Linked DNA regions of Elephas maximus indicus. The protein of the gene in region 1 interacts with the protein of each later gene in a biochemical or structural test. Links are inferred from orthologs where the notes say so. Each region holds a gene or a part of one and is shown in the gene's direction. Other genes may lie near its edges.

Region 1 (8,207 bases):
AGACTTTAAATGGGTGAATTTTATGGTATGTGAAATACATCAACAAAGCTGTAAAAAAAAAAAAAAATAACACTTTGTGAGGATCAAAAACAAAAAAATGTAAAGATTAAATAGCATAATGTATGTTTAAAAAAAAAAAAAAGAAGGGAGACATGTTCATGGCCAAAGAGCCCCACCTCTGATTCAGTTAGCATTCGTTTTCTGAGCACCTACCTGTGCCAAACATGGGCTGTGTAGCTGGATTGCAAAGGTGAGCGAGGTGGTCCCTGCCCTCAAGAGCTCACAGTTGTCTGGTCCCTACCTGTTAGGTTGTCTATCTTGTCCTTGCTGGCTGTGCTCACAGGTAGGGGAGAAAAACAATGTCTATTGTATGTGTAGGTGGTGTGGCCAACTGAGTCTTAAGATTTTTTAGTTTTTTATTTTGTTTTCAAGTAATGGGGACGGATTTGTGATCTAGCCACATGCTTCTTGTATGCCGTCTCCCCCAGGATGAAGCAGTGGTAAGGATCTCTGAGAAGAGTGATGAGGGCTTGGGGGTATAGCACCTCAAAAAGAGGCAGAGCTGGCAGACTCCTCTGAGGAAGGCTTTCATTTTGGCCTGGCTGTACCTGCCTGGGCTGACTTGGGGCGGCGGGGGGGGGGGGGGTGCGTGGGAAGAAAAAGTTTAATCCAGAAGTTAAGCCAAGCTCATTGTGTCTCTGGTACTCAACATAGTGCCTAGTGCATAATGGGGCCTGTCGAGTTGGCCCCAACTCATGGCACATGAGCCCTAGTGTTAATGGCAACCACAGGGCCATTGTGATCCATAGGGTTTTCATTGGATGATTTTCAGAAGTATATATAGCTAGGCCTTTTTTCCCAGTTCATCCTAGTTTGGAAGCTCCGCTGCAACCTGTTCAGCATCATGGCAACACACAAGACTCCACTGAGAGCTGGTGGCTGTGCATGAGGGGCAGTGGCTGGGAATCAAACCTGGGTCTCCCACATGGGAGGGGAGAATTCTACCACTCAGCCACCACTGCCCCCATGGGGCCTCACATAGGCTGTGCTTAATGAGTTGAAGTGATACCAATTTAGGTTGTTAAATGTCTCCCTGATTGCCTTCCATTAAGAACTCCTGGGTAAAGATTAATTCCAAATGAGAATGGTTTTAGTGTGTGATAGTAATTTTAAAAAGCAGTCCTTAATTTTTGTTGTAATATTATTTGGAATAAATGCCAGGGTGGAAATGGTGTGGTGTAAAGGGGATAATTTCTCCTCTGTCACAGGATCTGGCTGGAATTCTTGTGCCCTGCTGGAGGTTTTCCAAGGCTTGGGGTAAATGTGAGCTCCCATCGATCCCGGGGGGGCTGGACTGAAATTCCCGTCTGATTTAGGCCTTATCGGAGAAGCTCAAACTTACATTCCAGGAGGCTAGGCAGGGAACTTACCTGAACCCTGTGGGCTGTGTGGGGTCTGTGGTGAACCAGCGAGCAGAAGTCTCTTCTACAGCGGCCACTCAGTGTCAGGCTATAATGCTCCTTTGGCCACCGAGGCCTGGAGTTGCCACTGAGGCCTGGAGTTGCCACAAATCCCACTTTTTTGAGAGAGGCTGGACATTCAGATTCTTAGGTAAAATCTCCTGATTTTTGAATATTATATGGTCCAACCAAAACATAGCTATGATCCAGTTTTGTTTTTGTTTTTATTGTGGTAAATACATATGCAGCAAATCGTTTGCCATTTCAACATTACTCACGTGTACAATTCAGTGGTATTAAATATGTTTAGCATGTTTCCACTTTTTTATTTTGACTTTCTTCCCATCAACAGTTTTGGCCCCTGAACCTGCAGTAATCCAATGGTGTGTGGAAGTAGGTCCCCTCCTACCTCCCTATGGTGGCAAAGGACTGTGAAGATGAAGCCATCCTAGTCAAGGCTCTGAGTCGGGTGAAGGAGCTGTGGCGCTAACAATGGTGTGCAGTGGCCGGATAGTTGGGTGAAATCAGAGAGAGGGCAGCCTGTCTGAAGGAAGGCTGAGAACTGTGCTCATCCAGGACACCCTCTCTTGTGGGTGTGGCAGAGAGCAATTGCCCTATGGGGTGCCCATACTGAGGGCTTGTACCCCAAACGGTCCTCATTTACCTCTAGTGGCTCTGTCAACCCTGCATGTGTCTAAGCTAGTGGTCTTATAGGAAAAAATCTTTAGAGGCCAGGCAGGAATGAAACTTCATGGCTGTGGTTGTAGGAAGACTGCTGCTTGTGTAAAACACATTCCCAAGCATTACTTGTAGTCTCCGAGACCCTTCTGAAACCCATTTTTCTATCTGACCTGTTCTTCCTCTTGAGCTAACACATGCCATATGTTTAAATACCTGCTGTGTAGAGTAAATTAGGGAGAAAAAAAACTATATATAGGTTCGCTATGAGTCAGAATTGCCTCAACGGCAATGGGTTTGGTTTTGGTTTTTTATATATGTACGTGTGTGTGTGTGTGTAGTTGTGAGCTGTCGAGTCGATTCCAACTCATAGTGACCCTATAGGGCAGAGTAGAACTGCCCCATAGGGTTTCCAACGAGCAGTTGGTGGATTCGAACTGCAGACCTTTGGTTAGTAACCTGAGCTCTTAACCACTTTGCCACCAGGGCTCCATATATATATGGTAAAGTTTTTATATATACATATATATATATTTATTTCACAAATCATTTGAACATAATTTTGGCATTTCTCAAAATCTTTGGATTGTGAATTACAGTAAGAAATGTAGTTGACATGGCCATCCAGTACATACGTACATCGAGGCATATAAAATTGACAGTATTCCACCCCTTTGGCCTGTAAAACTGCAATTTCAAATGGTTCAATCTATATATAACTCAATGCAACAAAACTTATTCTCGTGTTTTGTGATACCTATTAATTTTTATTCTTTTAAATTCTGGTTGCAGTACCTAAATTGATTTCATTACCACTAATGGGTCACAATTAATCTCCGCAATAATTTTTAAGGCAGGCATCATCACCATTTTCCACCCATCCACTTAAAAACACTGAGATCTATCCCAGGGTTGAGGTGACCTCACCCCAGGTAGCTCCTATTTACTCTTCACTGACCCTTTAGTGGTGCAGGTGGTGCAGTGGTTAAGCACTCAGCTGCTAACTGAAAGGTCAGCTGTTTAAACCCACCAGCCACTGTGGGAGGAGGATGTGGCAGTCTGCTTCCTTAAAGATTATAGCCTTGGAAACCCTACGGGACAGTTCTACTCTGTTCTCTGGGGTCTCTATGAATCAGAATCAACTCGATGGCCATGGGTTGGGACCCTTTAGTCTTTATCTGATGTAATCTGCATACGAACCTCATAGGATGGGCACCATCATCTAAGAATACGGAGTTTGGAAAGGTCAAGTCACTTGTTTCCAGGCATAGGACTAGGTAGAGGAAGATTCTACTTGTAAATAATTTCTGCAACAGCGAAAAGCCCAAGCTATTTTCACTGCTTTGGCGATAAGACCCAGACCAGGACTTCTTACCATGGACCTGGACTTCGAAGCGTCCCAGTTCTAATCTTTTTTTTCTCTTCCGGACTTTTTCTTGGCTTTCCAGAGAAAGGGGTGTGTGTGTGTGTGTAGAAAGGGGTGTGTGTGTGTGTAGAAAGGGTGTGTGTGTGTGTGTGTGTGTGTGTGTGTAGAAAGGGGTGTGTGTGTGTGTGTGTGTGTGTGTGTGTAGAAAGGGGTGTGTGTGTGTGTGTAGAAAGGGGTGTGTGTGTGTGTGTGTGTGTGGCTTTCCAGAGAGATGTGTGTGTGTGTGTGTGTGTGTGTGCGTGTGGCTTTCTAGAGAGATGTGTGTGAGTGTGCGCGCGCGGTTATGCTTAAACTTTCCGCCAGGCTGTACTTTTTCTCTATGAGTCGGAAGCGACTGTACAGCAACGGGTTTGGGTTTGTTTTTGTTTTTGTTTTTTTAATACTTTCAGGCCTTTGCACAGGCTGTGGGGTGCCCTTTATCCTCGGGATCACCCCCTCCCCCAGCCCAGCCTGCAGCTGGAAGTCTTCACTGATCTCCAGCTCTCCTCCCTACCCCCATCGGGAACCTGAAGGCGACTGTCTCGCCCGGCCCTTTCCAGATGTACGTCTGCCAAAGACACCCCAGTGTAGAGGATGATGAATGAGAACAGGGGAGCAGGCCTGGTGGGAAAGTGTCGTCGCCATGAAAAGAGAGGGAAAGGGAAGGAAAGTTGGGGGGAGGGGAATGCTTAGAGTGGAACAGCGGGGGCGCGACAAGTCTGGACGCTGGGAACCCAAACCCCCTCCGCTGGGCCAGTAAGTTTGTCTCCCTCAGAAAGGCGTGGGGAAGTGTTCCAATCCCTGCACTCCTTCCTTAGAATTTGGGTTGTATTTTCTTATTTACTGCAACCCCCACAATATCCTCAGGGGCTCCCCCAGTGTTTGGTTCCAGCCTTCTCAGTCCCCGGCTCCCAGTCTGCTCCCTCTCCTTCGCGAGGCAACGCTCCAGCCCTCTCCCGGGCTTTCTCTCCGCACGTCCCTCCCAATTCTCTCCACCATTCTCTACTTGGGGGGGCGGAGCCGTACCTCCTCTTCTGTTTCTTTAAGAAGCGTCGGCTCCTCCCCTTTGGGAGTCGCCGTCTGACGCGAGATGACAGCAGCGAGTTCGGTATGTCTATGCAAATAAGAGCCTCCTGAGGGCCAATGGGGAGCGGAAGTGCCGGAACCGCGGACCAATGGGGCGGGGGCGCTGGGGCTCACCATATAAGGAGCAGCCTCGCCATAAAAGGAAACATTGTATCTCTTTATATGGGGGGAAGGGTCGGGGGATCCCTCCGCCGCCAGCGCGTGGTCGCGGCCCCCTCCACCCGCCGTCTCGGCCGCGGCCAGCAGCCCCTGCCCCCCGGGGGACGCTGACGGCCGCCGGGCGCGCCGCCCGAGCACACGGACAGGGGGCGCTGCGCGCGGCCTGGGGCAACCCGGGCCACAGGGGCAGGAAAGTGAGGGCCCAGGTCGGCCCGGGCGTGCAGGGGCCCCGGGTTCGCTGCGGCGGCAGCTACAGCGATAGCGGCTCTAGAAGCATCAGGAGCGCGGGGTTGAGCCGGGAAGCCGATGGCGGCGGCAGCAGCGGCTCCGATTCCTCGCTGACTGCCCGTCCACCCTTCTGCATTGAGCGCCATGTTACCGAGCCAAGCTGGGGCCGCGGCGGCGCTGGGCCGGGGCTCGGCCCTGGGAGGCAGCCTGAACCGGACCTCGACGGGACGGCCGGGCGGTGGAGGTGGTGGCGGCGGCGGGACTCGCGGGGCTAACGGGGCCCGGGTCCCCGGGAACGGCGCGGGGCTCGGGCCGGGCCGCCTGGAGCGGGAGGCTGCAGCAGCGGCGGCAAGCGCCCCGGCGCCCACCGCGGGGGCCCTCTACAGCGGCAGCGAGGGCGACTCGGAGTCGGGCGAGGAGGAGGAGCTGGGCACCGAGCGGCGCGGCCTGAAACGGAGCCTGAGTGAGATGGAGCTCGGCGTGGTGGTCGGTGGGCCCGAGGCGTCGGCGGCGGCCACCGGGGGTTACGGGCCGGTGAGCGGCGCGGTGAGCGGGGCCAAGCCGGGTAAGAAGACCCGGGGCCGCGTGAAGATCAAGATGGAGTTCATCGACAACAAGCTGCGGCGCTACACGACCTTCAGCAAGAGGAAGACAGGCATCATGAAGAAGGTACCAGGCGGGGAGGCTGGCCGGCCACGGGGGACCGAGAAGGGGTGGGGACGCGCAGGGGGAGCCCGGGAGGAAGGCAGAGTCGAGGCGAAGGTGAGAGGCGGCGAATCCGCAGGAGGTGTGTGGGAGGAGATGGCTGTTACCGGAGTAGGGCGAAAGGGGTGGGGCGGTCAGGGAAATGTGGGGAGAGGGGAGATGCAGCGAACGTCCGGGGAAGAAGGGAAAGGCGCCGAGGTGGGAGTGACGGGCACCAGAGAGGAAGAGGGCCCTAGCGAGTGAAGGGGTAAGGAGGGGTAATGGGAAGCTGCAAGGCTGCCGGTACGGCATCTGATGAGACATAGGGGTCAGTAGGTCTTGTACTCCCGGCGCTGGGGCGAGGGAACGCTGGAAAGGCAGGGTGCAGAAGAGAAGGTAGGGAGGTGAAGAGCCTGGAGCTGGGAGGGTAGCTGTAATGACAACAATGAGCAAGCATGTGTGGGAGGAAGGTGGGCACCACCTGAGTAGTGCTGGCTGGAAAGACAGGCGGAACCTATCCGGGCTCAAGGGCCCCAGGTAAGGGAATAGGGCGGGAAAAGTGGTGTTGCCGTGAGCAGCAGGGACCAAGCCTTGCAATGACCATGTGTCTTCCATTGCCATCCCCTGGAAGCCGGCATCCTTCTAGTGGGACAGGCTGTGGAACCACCTGCCTTTGGGACAAATGTGGTTTTCAGCCCAAGGCAAAATCTGTGCATGGAATTTGGGAGAAAAACAGGGAGGTTTGCAGAGAAACATAGAAATTCCTCCTATGCCAGCCAGTTATCCAGTGAAAAGGAGTGAGGAGAAGAGGCATCTTGGGATGTAGAAGATGGGAAGGGATGGAAGCAGAGAAAATGGGAGCTAAGGAACTAGAACCTTGGGGGCTTTGGCCGTGTTTATATCTGTACCACATAGAAACCGGAGCTGCTCCCAAGGTGGGGTGTGGAACTTTCTTGGGAATGAGTGTGGCATCTGTAGGGTCATCCTTGAGGGCTCCCCGGTGTGTATTCACGGTGGGGTAAAACGCTTTGCCCTCAAGTCGATTCTGACTCATAGCAATCCTTTAGGACGGAGTAGAACTGCCTCATAGAGTTTCCAAGGAGCGCCTGGTGGATTCAGACAGCTGACCTTTTGGTTAGCAGCCACTTAACCGCTACGCCACGCCATGTTGGGGTGGTAGGTACTAATCTAGTCCCCACCTCGCATCACTCCCAACATTGCTGTATCAGTGTCCCTTGTCACTTAATCATTAGTGGAGAAGGTTGAGTGGGGAGCTTCATGGAGGAAAGACTGCTTTTTCCTCCCTTACTTATCCTGCCTCCCCATGAAAAAGAAAAAAGGGTAGTACAGTATTGCAGGGCAGAAGGACAACCAAGGCCCTGGCAACAGGTTAGGGCCTGTTGCAATTTCTGGGAAGACATATGGGACAGTTTGGAGCTTAGGTATCCCCTTATCCCTCATATCTTATATGACTTTCCATGTGGTCAGGACCCCATCCTGGTTCCTGTGACACTGTGGAGGGAGTGGGAGCCATCTCTCTGAAACACCAAGCTGTGGTGGGGTGCAGCTAACTGGACCCCTCTGGGTCACCTGTGGTCATATGTTCTGTCACCAGGCGGTGACTGTTTGCTTCAGGGATCTGCAGTTTGGTGGTATAACTCAAAGAAGCATGGATAGTTTTGCTGCTCCCCAGATCACCTTCTGATATCCTGATAGGACCCTAGAGTCACTGGAGAGGAAGGTCACGGGAGTTGGGGCTTGAGATCACTGTGGTCTTTTTCTCTTTTTTACTTTTAAAGCCAGGTCGGAATGAAAGTGAAAAGTTTTCTGACCTGCCCATCTTACCCCCCACTGCAGGCCTATGAACTGTCCACACTAACAGGGACACAGGTGCTGTTGCTGGTGGCCAGTGAGACAGGCCATGTGTATACCTTTGCCACCCGGAAACTGCAGCCCATGATCACCAGTGAGACAGGCAAGGCACTGATTCAGACCTGCCTCAACTCGCCAGACTCTCCACCTCGCTCAGACCCCACCACAGACCAGAGAATGAGTGCCACGGGCTTCGAAGAGACAGACCTCACCTACCAGGTGTCCGAGTCCGACAGTAGTGGGGAGACCAAGGTGTGTTTGGGTCACCTATCTGAGGGGAGGGAAGAGGAGAGGATTGATGGGCAGAGAAAGGAGGAGGTCCCTCTCCCTCCGTCACCCAAGAAGAATGGTGGATAGGTGCCTGCGGATGTGGAGTGGGTGTTAGTGCCTCTCATCCTGGGGGACAGGTGTTCATCCTCGCCATCCTGACACGAGGCCCGCCCCCTAGATAAGCGGGCGGCCTCCGTGCCCATATAAGGCCGGCTCCGGCTCCACGCCGGCCTCCCGCCCGCAACCCAACTGCCTGGCAGGGCCCTTGCATTCCTCCCGCCAGCTGTCTTCCCGCTGGGGGGCGGGGGGAGCGGGGGTGTAGCTTAGCCCTGCCCTCCCGACGCAGGGCCTCCAGGGACTAGGAA
Region 2 (7,961 bases), on another chromosome or scaffold:
CATCTACCCTGAGACCAGAAGAACTAGATGGTACCTGACTACAACTACCAACCATCTTAATTAAGGCCACCATAGACGGACCCTGATAGAATAAGAGAAAAATGTGGAACAGAACCTGAAATTCTTAAAAACAAAACAACAACAAAAAACCAGACCTACTGGACTGGTTAAGACTAGACAACTCCCAAAACTACTGGCCTGAGATACTCACCAAACCTTGAACCAAAACTAACCCCTGAGGTCACCGTGTAGCTGAATAACAAATTGGCTCAAAAAGTAATGAATATCATCTGTAAGTACTGTGCTTTTTAAAAAAATCACCTACATGAGACCACATGGTCAACAGTTACTTTAATACAAAGATGAGAATATAAGGGGGCAGGGAAACTAGATTAATGGAAACGGAACAACCAGAATGGAAATCATGAGAATATTCATGCACTGTGAAGGATGCAGCCAATGTCAGTGAACAACTTGTATAGAAATTGTTGAATGGGAACATAAACTGCTGTGTAAACCTTCAACGAAAGCACAATAAAATATTACTAAAATAATCATAATAATAATACCCAGAGACCTAGCCTAGGGAAACAAAAGATGGGGTCTGTTTGGAGAAGCCAGAGGTTCCCACCCTGCCAGACCCTTCTCCTTCTTGTTTCTATTCCGAAGCACATGAGATGCTCAGTGAGAAATTTGTTTTGATTTTAGCCAAGCAACCTGGCAGCCCAGGTAAGCCCACTTGCCAGGTAAGCAGGGCCTGGAAGATGCTAGAGGTCAGAGAGCTGGGATTACCGTGTGTGGCACAGCGGAAAGGAAGGAGCAGGGAGTAGGTGAAGGGTATTTCTGAGCACTTTGAAATCCCACCGCTACTATGCAAATGGGATCAGCCCAGCATGCAAATAGAATCAAGTTGAGAGAGTCCAAGCAGAGGAGCAAACAGCCTGGTCCTGAAGCCCCAGCAGGGGGATAAGGGCTTCCTCTGGAGAGAGCAGGACTGCTAGAAGAGAAAGCTCCAGTCGGGGGCAGGGGGTCCTGTGTGCCCAAGCCAGCAGGGGTGGGGATTAGGGCTGGACGGCCCCCCGCTGTCAGGTTAGAGCTGATGGATCGCCGCTGGTGGTGGAGCACAAAGGCTGCTCTGTGCTTGGCACCAATGTGTTCCCATCCATCAGAGGACAGCTCCTGGGGGTGGAGGGGTGTGCAGGAGGAGGAAAGCTGAGCTTCTAGATGCAGCTTCTCCACAGCTCAGCTCTGAGAGAGGAATAAGGTGGGTAACAGGGTGTTGGGAGGTCAGAGATACCTGAGGAGTCCCTGGGTGGTGCAAATGGTTAATGTACTCAGCTGCCAGCCAAAAGGTTGGAGGTTCGAGTCCACATCAGAAGCACCTCAGAAGAAAGGCCCAGAGATCTAATGCTAAAAAATCAGCCATTGAAAACCTTATGGAGCACAGTTCTACTCTGACACACATGGGATCGCCATGAGTTGGAGTTGACTCAAAGACAACTGGTGGTGGTGGTAGAAATACCTGAGTCTCCTCTAAAGATTAAAGCCTAGAAAACCCTATGGGGCAGTTCTACTCTGTCATATAGGGTTGCTGTGAGTCAGAATCAACTCGATGGCACACAACAACAAAAACGACCACTTTCTACCTTGAGTAAACAACTTTGGGTACTTATTTTCCTTACTCAACTGTGAGTACTTCAAAGGCCAAAAGACCATGTCTTATTCAGGTTAGTGACCTTATCATCTCGCACAAGGTGCTCAATACATGTGTCTTGATTGAAGGACTAAATGAATAAATCTGCACATGCATGGTGGAGTCAGGTTTTCCCTCCCCCATTTGTGCTACTCTGGTTTCCTGGAGGCAATGAGCACAGCCAGGGAAACACCCTGTGAAGGAGAACAATGAGTCTAAGGGGGGAGTGGTAATGATCAGGAGTAGAGAAAAGGACAACACAAGGAAAAGGACTAACATTTATTCCGTGTTTCCATGTTCCGGGTGCCATTCCAATTAATACAACAAATCACCCCCTATGAGAAACACACATACACACCATTCTTTTTTGCCAGCCTGAACAGTGGATCCTGTCTGGGTGGATGATCCATCCTCATGCCTCTGAGTGGGTTGATCAGACCTTCATCACCTTATTCCTGGATTACTGTCATGTTCTATTTGGTCTCCTCACCTCAGTATTCAATCAAGTTCTTCCATGCCCAGTTGAGCTTCCACCCGTTTTTGCAGACTTGTCCCCAGTCACCACCTTACGTGAACCTGAGCTCCATACAGACTGATCTACCCAATGCCCCCTTTGCTCTCCAGAGAGATCTCCATTTCCCATCCAAATCCTGCTTGTTCTCCATGGCCCAGCCTGTGTTCTCCTCCTCGTCCGGCCTTCCTCAGAGACCCTGGCCTTCCATGGTTTTGCCTTTCTATAAACAACTGAAATACTTCTTTGATGAATCCACTCATTTGCAGTTGATCATGGCCCCCATGTTTGCCCTTGAATTAAAATAGCTCTGTCTTGCATTGTCATTTAGCATCCACATTTCAGTGTCCATGCTCACCAGAACTAGATAGTAAGATCCTGGAAACCATCATACAACAAACCCATTTCTCTTTCAGTTTTTGAGGAAGTAGAGACATTGTTTAAGGGTAAGTCAGATTCAATCCCAAAAGGATAAAAAATGCAGCTTCTGGATTTCCATAATAGCTTCAACATCATGTCTTTTCTCAGGGCTCACAGGATTAGTGTGTAAACTGAGGCAAAGCGTTTGTTTTTTCCTTTCTTTGTTGGTGGTGAGGGGAGTGTGTCTTGGGAGTAGAGATTCTTTCTTTTTCAGCCCAATTGGTTGGGGCCAAAGAAGGTTTAGAACTCCCAGCCCCCATGCGGCCACCTTCCGTGGTGCTGGTTAGGACAAGAATCACATTAGGACTTCACTGCCCCCCTAACATGCTCAGGGCTCCTTTGTTGTCCATCTATGTCCCCTCCTCATCTCTGTGTCCTGCCCCAAAAGGACACCAGGATGTTCCTGGCTCCATGTCATGGATAACAAGAGGAGGTAAGGCAGATGTCTTCAACCGCCATTCAGATCTCACCTACCCTGCAGAGTCTTCCCTGAGCCCCAAGCATGGTTTCTCTTCCTCTTACTGTCCTCGCCACTGGCTTGAATTATAAGATCAATATCATCTGTCATATGTTGGGGGAGTCAGACTTAATCTGTAGGGTCCTAGAGGGAAGAACTGGGACCAAAGGGTGAAGGATAGAGGGGGCAGATTGCAGGTCAAAACCCAGGACTCCCTGTGGCCACAGCTGCACAGCAGTGGAATGGGTGGGCTTGTGAGGTCAGCACAAGCTGGACAATGGCTACCTGGAGAGGGGGTTCAGGCATTAGGTGTGGTGTAAACTAGGTGGCCACTGTGGTCTACTAGATGGTAAGGTCCTCAAAGGTAGAGACCCTGCCTTTGGCTTCCCTGTAATCCCTCAGTGCTGAGACTGAGTCTTGTCCACTGTTGGTATCTGAGGCCTGCCCAGTGCACTGGGAGGAATGAGTCCTCTCAGACCCCGAGGCCTCTACTGAAAGGTGATCATGGGCTGAGAACCTGAAAGGTTAAATAGTCACTCCTTCACTTGACACTTGAGACCTGTACAATATGTGTAAATTGGTGGCACAGACAGGAAGAGGCAGACCAACCAAGCCAGATGATCAAGAAGAACAGAGATTTAAACTGAGTCTGAAGGGCCCTACTTTCTCTCCTTCTCATTTCATCCACCATAAGGAATCAGGAAAATTCTGGTGTCCTAATGGGGCTAAATGCTATGGCTGCTAACCTAAAGGTCAGCAGTTCAAATCCGCCAGGAGCTCCTTGGAAACTCTATGGGGCAGCTCTACTCCGTTCTATAGGGTCACTATGAGTTGGAATTGACTCGACAGCAACGGGTTTGGGTTTTTTTTTTTTTTAATGGGGCTAGAAACAGAGTTGAGGAGGACACAGAAGGACAATAAGTGATCCAGAGTGAAGGAGGGAAGAGATGGAGGGTTTAATAGTGGATAACACTGTGAGGAGGAGGCAAGGTGTAGCTGCAAATTCTAATACCCACTCTTACTCTGACCAGCTGTATTAAAAGAAAAATTTCCCCTGACTCTGCCAAAAACAAAAACAAAACCAAAAATCCTTTTGCCTCAATTTCCCTGCAATCACACAAGACCTGAGAGAATACATGATGTCAAACCTACTTTGGAAACCCGAAGCTGAATCTATTTGTCTTTTGAGTTTCACTCCTTCTTATCCCTGGTCAGCGAGTACCCCACATGTCCTCAAAATTTGAAGCAGTGTTGTTCTTTGGGAAGGGGGTTCTTCAAGAGTTTTATCTGACTGACATAGTCTGGTTAAGGTGCTGGTCAGGAAGCAGGGGGATGGATAAATTGGCTTCTTAAGGTCCCTTCCAGCCTGAACCCACCTCTTCCTTGCCCCCCACCCCCCGCCCCTTCAGCTTCTTTGGGACTAGCAAGAAGAGAGCAGGCAGGCGCCCAGCTAGGAGTAATTGAAGGGAGCAGATGAGAGGAGAATGCCTGTCCTCCCCCACCTCCCCTGTCCCACGGGAGAAATGAAAACTAATCAAATTACACCCGACGGCCTCCCTGCCCGTGCACAGGAGCCGGCCTGGGCCAGGGGCAGGCTGGATGGGTGGGGTGGGGGCCGTGGGGGAGAGGGAAGGGGAATCACATCTAATCCACTGTAAACGTCTTGATGTGCAGCAACAGCTTAGAGGGGGGCTCAGGTTTCTGTGGCGTTAGCTATATTTATCTCTGGTTCCATGCCAGCAGGGAAGGTTTAAATGGCACCCAGCAGTTGGCGTGAGGGGCTGCAGGAGCTTGGGGGCTGGTGGCAGGAACAAGTCTTTCCCGACCCCATGGAGCTGTATGAGACATCCCCCTACTTCTACCAGGAACCCCGCTTTTATGATGGGGAAAACTACCTGCCCGTTCACCTCCAGGGCTTTGAGCCTCCGGGCTATGAGCGGACTGAGCTCGGCCTGAGCCCTGAGGCCCGAGGGCCCCTAGAAGACAAGGGGCTGGGGACCCCAGAACACTGCCCAGGCCAGTGCCTCCCGTGGGCGTGTAAGGTGTGTAAGAGGAAGTCGGTGTCCGTGGACCGGCGGCGGGCAGCCACGCTGAGGGAGAAACGCAGGCTCAAGAAGGTGAATGAGGCCTTCGAGGCCCTGAAAAGGAGCACCCTGCTCAACCCCAACCAGCGGCTGCCCAAGGTGGAGATCCTGCGCAGCGCCATCCAGTATATTGAGCGCCTGCAAGCCCTGCTCAGCACCCTCAACCAGGAGGAGCGTGACCTCCGCTACCGAGGCGGGGGCGGGCCCCAGCCAGGGGTAAGTGGCCATCCCATCCACCTGGCCCAGGGGGAGTGGGCCAGAGGGAGGCACTTGGACAGCCTCAGGACAGCACAAAGGGGCTTAGAGGGTTAAAGCCAGTGCCAGGCAGAGGGGTCTTGAGGGGCTGCAGGACTCCTGCCTTTGTCAGAGCTGCGTCTGTCCAGCTGACCACATATGTCCCCATGTCCTTTCCCGACACGATAAAGGCGATGGGAGGAGGTGCAATTGGGGTATGTGTGCTCTGAACTGTAGGAGGGACACAGGAACACGTCCATGTCAGCCCGCTGGGGGAGGATTAATCCCGGGGCCTGGAGATAGGTCCAAAGAGCAAGGCCAAGCTCATCGGAGAAGATCGCTTTGCCCCCACCCCACCCTCACCCTGGGTGTGGCTGAGCAGAGCAAAAACCAATCCCCCTCAGCCCCACTGGAACCCAGAAGGCCTGAGCAGAAGTGGCCCTGCTCAGGCCAGACACTCTGCCTCCTTCAGCCTTACCCCAGAGGCAGGAAACCAAGGGGCCCTTTAAGCTGGGTGTCTTGTGAGGGCAGAATCACCTCCCAGGGTCAAGGCCACGGAAGGCCTGGAAGCAGAGGCTCTGGGTCAGGTTGGGGGTGTGAAAGGAGCCAGCTGTGAAGATTCTTGAGTGGGGGGTGGCCTGGGCTGAAGGGGTGCCATCCAGGACCCACCCTCCAACCCCACCACAGATGCTTCTGCCCAAGGGGATTGGTCAGAGACGTCTGAGAATGGCTGTGTCCCGACCTTGGGCTTCCCCCGCCCGCCACCCTGCTATCTTGCAGGTGCCCAGTGACTGCAGCTCCCACAGCGCCTCCTGCAGTCCAGAGTGGGGCAGCGCACTAGAGTTCGGACCCAACCCAGGAGGTAAGTGAGGCCTGGATCCTGGTAACCTTGGCTCAGATCCCTCAGTTCCCATCCCCTTTTCAGCCCCCTAGGCCCAGTTCTCCCCTCTTACCTTATTTCCTGCTCCAGCTCTCTTTCCTTGGCCTCTCCTTGGAACTGTTGAACCCAGGTTCCCAAGCATGCCTCCCTGAGACCTTGACCAGCGAAGGAGGCCTCCTACAGTGCCCCAGCTGGTGCCCGGGAGCTGACCTTCTCCACAGAGAGGAGAATGCTCCTGCCCCAGGGGTCCCTGGGAACTGCTGAGTCAGTGCTGCAAAACTGGGCCCAGCAAAGGGCAGTTCCAGTCTCCAAGGATACACTGCCCTGGCTGCACCTCGGAATAGCTGCTCCCAAATCCTAGCCCCACTAGGGGAGCTCAGGGAGGAGGCACACACACACGCGCGCGCGCGCACACACACACACACACACACACACCGGGCATTTGGAAAGGCACGGGCTGGGGAGTAGGATTCCTGAGTTTTGCTTGCCCATCTGTCCTGAAAAACCTATGACACCCCAAGGGGTTCATTCCCTATTCTGGGCCTCAAGACCCCCTTCACCCCCCCCAGGTCACACCCTCCCCACCTTCTCCTTGCAGATCACCTGCTCACACCCGACCCTGCGGATGCCCACAACCTGCACTCCCTCACCTCTATCGTGGACAGCATCACAGTGGAGGATGTTTCTGTGGCCTTCGCAGACGAAAGCATGCCCAACTGAGATGGTCTGCCAGGCCAGGCATACGGATGCCCCCAAACTGGCCAGAGCCACCACCACTTCTGCAGCAGGGGCCTCCTAAACCAGGCTGTCCTGATGCCAGGAAGGCAGCCCCAGGGCTGCCAAATGCCAGACTATCCTCTCCTCCTCTACGTAAGGTTAACCTACCACCCAGTGGGGGAATGGACTCCCTCATTCAGCTGACTCCTTAGAGCAGAGGGCATCCTGTTTCACGGGAGACAAAGCAGGGGACCAGAGCACCCCCTTGTGTATGCCCCCTGGGTAAAGGGGCAAACTCAGGAGCTTCCCTTTTAACATAATGCAGCCTCCAACTCCCACTTACCTAAAGAAACATGTCAAGAGACAAAGTCAGTGTCCTGACCTGGACAAGCTGTGCACTCCTGCTTTTGTCTCTTCTGAAGCCAGGGGCTGGGCTGGGCCTGCCCTGAATTGAGGGAGGAGAAAGTGGGGGGGGGGGGGAACAATCTTGTTCCTAAGTCCATGGGGGGCCAAGCTTTTGCAGTGACTATTGGGAACCTTCCAGAGGTTTATGTTTTGTTTTGTTTTGTGTGTTGTTTGTAAAACAGCCATCTGACCAAGGTCTCCTGTGCTGAAGTTGCCAGGAACAGGCAGGGAGGGGGGAGGGGGACTCTTGGGGTGATTTCTTTTGTTAACTAAGCATTGTGTGGTTTTGCCATTGTTTTGTAATTTTTTGCTAACTTATTTGGATTTCCTTTTTTAAAAAATGAATAAAGACTAGTTGCTAGAAGAGTGTCAATGATGATGTAGATTGGGGAGGGAGACCGGACATGACACGCTTGGCCCTTCCACTCAGCGATCCAGATATGCTCCCGGGGCTGGGCTTCCAAGGATGGGAGAGAATGGAGCTTTGGGGAAGAACCAACACTCCAAAAGCATTGGAGGAACCATCTTGTGGGTGATCACTAGGGGTGGAGACCCCTGCT

The links. The genes of interacting proteins can lie anywhere in the genome.
Region 2: the proteins of SRF (region 1) and MYOG form a complex in vitro, tested with the Homo sapiens proteins (2 studies listed by BioGRID and IntAct). The link is inferred for Elephas maximus indicus from reciprocal best matches to the Homo sapiens genes SRF and MYOG.

The regions. Positions count from the first base shown.
Region 1 is NC_064819.1:107,560,136-107,568,342, forward strand, and holds the start of SRF (serum response factor), read left to right. Parts: upstream 1-4,806; 5' UTR 4,807-5,160; coding exon 5,161-5,685; intron 5,686-7,557; coding exon 7,558-7,824; intron 7,825-8,207. UniProt on the Homo sapiens protein: SRF is a transcription factor that binds to the serum response element (SRE), a short sequence of dyad symmetry located 300 bp to the 5' of the site of transcription initiation of some genes (such as FOS).
Region 2 is NC_064836.1:11,997,629-12,005,589, reverse strand, and holds MYOG (myogenin), read left to right. Parts: upstream 1-4,910; coding exon 4,911-5,381; intron 5,382-6,179; coding exon 6,180-6,261; intron 6,262-6,877; coding exon 6,878-6,999; downstream 7,000-7,961. UniProt on the Homo sapiens protein: Acts as a transcriptional activator that promotes transcription of muscle-specific target genes and plays a role in muscle differentiation, cell cycle exit and muscle atrophy.